2 linked regions of the Caenorhabditis elegans genome follow. The protein of the gene in region 1 interacts with the protein of each later gene in a pairwise test. Each region holds a gene or a part of one and is shown on either strand. Other genes may lie near its edges. The genes, in order: lec-6 and rab-11.1.

Region 1 (3,630 bases):
ACTTTCATTGCAAAAAAACAATTAGAGTTACGTGGAAAGTTGATTTTTTACTATTTCTCGTGAAAAAAAGTGTAACGAGTGGATTTTTCGTAATTTCTTGCAATTTTTCAATTAGAATTTAAATTTTCGAATAATTGTTTTGAAAAACTTAATGGAAAACAGGCATTTTGGCTGGAAAATAGACAAAAACGAAGAGAAAATGAAAAAAAATAATTCAAATAAATTTTGTGCGTCAAATAAGGTGCCCGGTCCGCAGCCACAGTGTTTGCACCGAACAGGAACTACAGTACCCTAAAATAGTATTTTCCTCGATTTCAGTTTTTGAAACTTGCTTTAAATGAACGAGTGGATATAAAATAGAAAATAAAGCTTTATTAAAAGAAAATAAGTGAAAATCTGATTAAGAATTTTCAAAAAAAAATCTTTTCCGAAGAATAAATCGAATTCCTTCACTATTTTTTCGAGATAAGAAGTTTTAAGAGAAAATGCCCTTTGGAACTAAGTAATGATTAAAAAGTATTAGGGGACGCTAAGCACGCTAAAACTGATGCTTCATAATAATAAACTATGAATTATCAACTTTATAGCGGTGACCTCTACCATTACTGCCGAAATTGCGCGTAAAATATGGCGCTTCGACTCAGTGTCTGCGAATCCATTTTTCGGAATTTAGAAAATAGAAATATTCAAAACCAAGGTTTATTGATATGAAATTTGCACAAAAATTCAAAATGTATCATAAAGAAAGAGTATTTTAAACCAAAAATTAAATAAATTAGTGAGAAACATGGGCGGAATGAACATGAACTCCTCCCTCGATCTCAATGAGATGGACTCCGTGGGATGGAGTACGCTCGACAAAGTCAGCGAAGTGGGCTCCGTTGACGAAGATCTGAAAAATATAATAGTTTAAAGATTAAGTTTCAGTAGGTGAACAGGGCTCGAAATCCAATGCTCATCAGAGATGGGAGTACGAAAAATCAAACTTTTCCACGTGGTGTCGAAGTGTCCCATTTTGGTGTGATCTTCAAAAAATGCGGCCGAAGAGGCGCTGACTTCTCAACTGATTTCGCATGATTAAGAGTGTGCTGATGTCACGAAAAATTCCCTCATTTTTTGTAGATCAAACCGCAACGAGACAGTCTGGCACCACGTGCTTTGCACGAACACAGTCCGCCTTAACATTCTTAAGCCCAGAATCCAACTAACCGAGATAATTCCACCGTTGGACACAAACTCCAGAGTGTAGATCTTGTTCTGCTGGAATGGATTGGCGTGACGATCCTCGGATTGCCAACCTCCTCCGCTGGTCGAGTTGTTCACAACAGCTCCCTCATCGAATCTAGCGTTGAAGTGAAGAACAATGTCGTCTGGAGTGCGAAGATTGATGTGGAAACGAGAATCGGCGGATGTTGGGAGAAGAACGAGACGGAGGCGAGCACCGTTGGAGAATCCTTGCACTGGGATGTTCACTGGGGTTTGTGGGTTGAAGAATTCGTTGCGGAAGCTGATTCCGATTCCTCCTCCGATCATGGTTGATTCTGAAATCAACTGTGTGAGTTGGGAAGGGAAACATGTTAGGAGCAATACTAAGACCACTATTCGTATAAAATGTACATCTATGAGAATTGTAAGCTGATTCTTTGGCTCTAAATCGCATGTTTTATCACTAGGTGATGTAAAATGTCTAAAGATCGAAAAGCCGAGTAGTTTGAAAGTTGATAAGAGCGTATGAAAAACCCTCGGCAAAGTAAACAATTCTCGGTGTCTACTGGGGGAAAATGTTCAACGAAAAAAAAATAGAAATTGGGCAATAAATGTAAACAATCCTCATCTATTTATACATCACAGAATGGGCGGATTCTTGCCTATGAGTCATCAAATACGATTCTAGAGAATTCCTTACTACATGAATCATGGAAAAAAAGGCTTGAGTACATTGTACACCTGCCATCGTCTCTTATAAGCAGTGTTTCTTATCAACTTATTGATGAGTTGGCATATGCTCCGCCTCGAACTATTTCGATGATAAGTTGCTTGTTTACTGAACTGAAAAAGGCTTTTCGATGAAAAATTCAGCCCGGCATAAAGAATGTCACGAGTTAGTTTGGAAATTAAGATGTGTGCTGATAAACGTCAAGAGAGGAAGTAGTGATAAAATTCTAGAGTTTTAACAAATTTGCAAAATCTCTGAATTGTTTTATTTTAGGAGTTTTTCAACCTAAATTCGTATTTTAGTTATTTAATTGTTCCTCGTTCCACACGTCACCATTTACAACCCTTATTATCGAAGTGCCAAGTTACAGGGAGAACTTGGTACATACCAGCTCACCAAGAAAAACCGATCAATAATGTAATAAAACCCGCTGACATTGAAGACAGAAGATACCGCAATTTTCTTTAATAGCTTGGGTTTTTATTAGCGCTAAACAATATATAACGTGGCAGTTTTTTTAATGCTGACTTATAAATAGTACTTTTCCTTTCAATGAATCTTCAGAGAATTTCAATGTGGCATTTTCTTAAAATCTTCCTCCGTTAAGCCATATTGCAATTGTATGTGGTAAACTTTCCAATACTATAAAAATTGAACTTTTAAAAACTTCTGAAACTTGAGTTTACAGTAACTTAAAGCTTAAAGGTGGAGTACCGAAATCTGAGACTTTGCTTTTTAGGCTCAAAACTACCGCATATCGTAATGAGACATCTTGAAAATTTCTCAACACGTTATGGCAGTTCAAAAATCTGGAAAAAGGTCCACTTTCAGCTAAAATCAAATTGTTTCCAACTTCTCGGTGTCGCTGCGTCTGGAAGTTAATTTGTATTTAATTACCACTTTCTAATAAATAATGTGATCGTTTAATGCGCATTTATTCGTTGGTTTAAGTACATTTTCGGCCAGTGGGGCACAAATAAAAGCTATGTTTTTGTGCCCCAATGACCGAAAATGCACTTTAATCAAACAATAAACTCCTAATAAAAAACCACAATATTTATCAAAGAATGAAAATTTTATTTTAGCTGAAAATGGGTCTGTTTTTCCAGAACTTTGAACCGCCATAATTTTTTTTTGCGAAGTTTTGAAAACGTCTCATTACGAAATTCGGTAGTTTTGGGCTATTTTGGGTCTAAAAACAAAGTCTCTGATTTCGGTACTCCACCTTTAAGATTTTCAAGTATACCCAGGAGCCACGTGTCCGTAAAAGTTCAATGATGGCATTTCCGGCTAGTAGTGATGTAATTTAGTCATGAAGCTGATTTTTTCTCCTCAATAATTTTGATGATTAATTATTGATAAGGAAAATGTCAAACAATTTGACGATTACCAGAAAGTTATTTTTCTACAATTCATGAATATCGGTTAAATTTGAGTAATCATTTTCTTCGTATGGAGCATGGGAAATTATTTAGACCTTTGCAAATTCAATTTTTTTTAAAAGCATTGTTAATTACCATCGTATTCCAATTTGATTCTAGACTACTATCAAACTTATTGAAGTGGTAATAATTTTTTCCAAGAATTTTGAACAACGTTTCTACTAGGGGTGTGCGTCAAATTTACCAAATTTGCCATTTGCCGATCTTGGTAATCGTTAGAATTTGCCGCACACAACAAAAATTGGACAATAC
Region 2 (3,785 bases), on another chromosome or scaffold:
AAGAGTAGCCTTGTTCAGCTTGACGAACACTCCGTTGTTGATCTGACGAAGACGGAGGATCTGGAGAGCCTGAAAACAAAGAATGGTTATTAAAAAACTCATTAACACAATTTCACCTTTCTTGGCTTTGGATGAAGCTGGTTGATACCGCGAATTCTGACGACGAAGGCGACCTTGTGCTCAGCTGGAACGTAGAAGTCTCCCTTGGCCTCAGCCTCGCGCTTGAGTCTGAGTCCTTCCTTTTGGGCGTTTCTGTACTCCTGGACGTATTTCTCAGCACGCTTGAAGTATTGGGTCTTCTTCTCCTTGTTCTTCTGTAAAAAATTTTATTTTTAATGCAGGATTAGTTCAAATTAATTTTCAAACACCTAAAAGAAAATTTAAACTTTAAAATTTCGAATTGTCATCGTGTTATTGAGACGCATTCTGAATTGAATACACCTCACCCAAAAACAAGATAATTCTTATAGCTCAGTTTTGACGGCTGGCTTGGATAATAGTGGATCCTAAAACCAGTGCTTTTGAAGAGCATTTTCTGTTTTCTGACAGTTAAATAAACTTACAGCGGCGACGGTCACCTTGTGTTGAGCAGCCTTGGTGCGGGCATCGGCTCTCTGCTTTCTGCGCTTGAGCACAGTTTCTGGAACCTGTGGCACTTTCTTTCTGAAAAACCAAGAATTAATATCAAAATTGAAGTATTTGAAAGTCAGGCCTAAAAGTAAATTTCAATCTAATATAAATTTATAAAGAAAACTTACGTTGGAGCCATTATAGGCGATTGATTACCTGGAAAATCAAAATATTAATCAGAAAAGAAAATTATAAGATATTGAAACAGAGGAGCAAGTTTTCAAAACTAAATTATTTCAGTATTTTTCGAATGTTCAGCATTTTCTTCACGAAAACTATAAAAAACGCGTATCAGAATTACGGGAAATTAGTTCTAAAATTTATTCTGATGAAAATTTAAGAAAATCAATGAAAAATGCTCTGAAAAAACGGAAAAATTCGTTAGGCCAAAAAGAAAAAAATGTAAAATTGAGATTCCGTTGCGCCGCTGCGAAAGGGGTACGGTAGTTGTCGTGCCGAGACCCGAGGAGGCTTGCGCTGCGGCTAGCGTCGCGTACCCTCAGACCGACGTGGCTGCGCCGGTGCGCCTGACCTGTTTTACGTTCGATTTTATGGGTTTCACACGCATTTCGCGTTCGGAAAAGCTTATTCTGGATGTTCACAGCCATAAAACTAATTATTTTTTTCAATTTTTAGCTGAAATTATCAAAAAAGAACACCCAGAGAAAGCTTTCCCTTGTTAAAAATATCCTGTTCAACTATTTCGAAATCGTGTCGACAAACAAAGTTCGGCCGCTCACCTTCCCTTTTTCGGGTATGATAAGCCTCAAATACTCTTTCATAACACACTTCTATATACATTTTCACATTTTTCTTCTGACTAACCACCCTCATATATTGATAAAATTCAATATAAAACTCCCAACTCCATATACTTTGAATCATTCTTAAATCAAGTTCACTTATATTTTTTCAATCCCCGTCGAGATAGACAACCGGTTCCTGACTCCGCGTTTGTGTCGGGAACAGAACATAAAAATATTCTCCGCCGATAAAACAGTGTCTCGTTCTTTTAATATCGATTTTACAACAAAACATTGCGCCCGGCTGATGAATCATGTGACCAATGCCCTTTTTCTTTTTTACAATCGTCCCAATATATACACAACTTTCAAACAAGCTTTATCATTTTACAGCTCAGCAGTAAAGATGGGCTCTCGTGACGATGAATACGACTACTTGTTCAAGGGTAATTTTGTTTTTCATTTTTCAATTCCCAAACGAAAAATTGTTTCAGTTGTTCTGATTGGAGACTCAGGCGTCGGAAAGTCGAATCTCCTGTCTCGTTTCACAAGAAATGAGTTCAACTTGGAATCAAAATCAACAATCGGAGTCGAGTTTGCCACGAGAAGCATCTCGGTGAGGAACTTCATTAGAATACACTTATGATTCAAATTATTATTTTTGTAGGTAGAAGGCAAGACAGTGAAGGCTCAAATTTGGGATACTGCTGGACAGGAACGTTACCGTGCCATCACATCCGCTTACTATCGTGGGGCTGTCGGAGCTCTCCTAGTCTACGACATCGCTAAGCATGTGACGTACGAGAATGTTGAGCGATGGTTGAAGGAGCTTCGTGATCACGCCGATCAGAACATTGTGATTATGTTGGTCGGAAACAAGAGCGACTTGCGCCATTTGCGTGCAGTTCCAACAGACGAGGCCAAGATCTACGCCGAAAGAAATCAATTGTCGTTTATTGGTAAGTTAAACTAATCTATTGCGTTTATATATTTTTTTTTTTCAGAAACATCTGCCCTCGACAGCACCAACGTTGAAGCAGCTTTCACTAATATCCTGACGGAAATCTACAAATCAGTATCCAACAAGCATGTAGGAACTGACAGACAAGGATATGGCGGTGGCAGTGGTACAATCATTCCTTCGCCAGCGTCCGACCCACCAAAGAAGCAGTGTTGCATCCCATAAATCACATCGTGTTTTTTTTTTTCAGTCTAACGTGTGTATTTTTCGAAATGCCTTGTCCATTTAATTTACTGCCCCCGAAATCCAAATGATTCGCTCTTAACATCCGCGAGTTTTATCGAATTCTTGCAAGCACTGCGTTTGCAAGTCTTCACCGTTTTGGTGTGTAGTATTTGTAACTTTCTTTCAGATTTATTTGTAATTGCCTCCATCCCCACCCCTTCCCCCTCCCCCCCCTCCGAACCTATACATTCGTCCCTTTTTCTTCAGAAGATTGTGATCTGAGTTGAGTGGTGCTGCTTTCTTACCATTTATCCGACTCAAGATTGTATGCCAACTTCAGCGACGTATTTTGAATATTTTTTCTTCACCCTTATTCAATATTATTCTGGCCCACCCCCACCCAATGTGTATATTACCTAAACTATTTTGGTTATTCGTAATGTGTGTCTCTTGTAGAACTCGATACCGAGAAACCCTCGCCAAGAAAGCAACGAAGACATATGCACATTGTTTTTAATCGAGTTTTATTTATTTCGCAATTTTTTTCCAAATAGTCATTTTCCATGAATAAATAAATATATCTAATTGATCTCCTATTTTGTGAAACATTTTCACTAAACGCTTGTACCAAATCACGTCCAGTTTTTTTATTTTGAATTCAAAATGAAAATCCGCATTTTCGCGCCGAGACCACTACAGTAACCTAAGGCCTAAAAATGTGCATTTTTGCGTGTTATTCTATGCATTGTCCGTACAGCGTTTCCATTTGAATTTTTTGAAGTTTTCCGATAAAAAAAAAGAAAAACTCCAAAAAAAAATTTCCCATTGAAAAATGTCGAAAAAAGAGACGCAGAGAAAGCGCTGCAAGACCCCACATCTGTGTGTTTGTCCTTCCTCAATCCTCCGGCTCTCTCGTCGCCTCGCCGTCTCTTTCAAATTCTCCATCTCTCCTCCCGTCTCTCTTAGTTGTTCTGGTGTATGCTTGCGTGCGTGCGTTGCGGACTACAAATCAGGACTTTTTCAAATTTATTTTAATGCTTGTTTAATTTTTAATTTTCCACCCCGTTAATTATTCTTATTTTCAATTATTAAATTGCAGAAAAATGTCCGAGAATCCTGAAAATTCGGGAGAATTGGCAGAAAATCAGGAAGAAGTTGATCAAGAGCTTGTGCAAAATCCAACAGAGCCCCAGCAAAATCCAGAGCCGGCCGAAGAGCCCCAGCAA

The links.
Region 2: the proteins of lec-6 (region 1) and rab-11.1 interact in a protein complementation assay, tested with the Caenorhabditis elegans proteins (one study listed by BioGRID).

What each region holds. Positions count from the first base shown.
Region 1 is NC_003281.10:598,826-602,455, forward strand, and holds lec-6 (Galectin), read right to left. Parts: upstream 1,542-3,630; 5' UTR 1,534-1,541; coding exon 1,210-1,533; intron 893-1,209; coding exon 776-892; 3' UTR 685-775; downstream 1-684.
Region 2 is NC_003279.8:108,039-111,823, reverse strand, and holds rab-11.1 (Ras-related protein rab-11.1), read left to right. Parts: upstream 1-1,766; 5' UTR 1,767-1,779; coding exon 1,780-1,819; intron 1,820-1,867; coding exon 1,868-1,989; intron 1,990-2,040; coding exon 2,041-2,332; intron 2,333-2,377; coding exon 2,378-2,559; 3' UTR 2,560-3,150; downstream 3,151-3,785. Other genes in the region: rpl-7 (Large ribosomal subunit protein uL30), read right to left, coding at 1-69, 117-314, 564-663, 759-769; Y48G1C.8 (DUF7747 domain-containing protein), read left to right, coding at 3,663-3,785. UniProt on the Caenorhabditis elegans protein: The small GTPases Rab are key regulators of intracellular membrane trafficking, from the formation of transport vesicles to their fusion with membranes.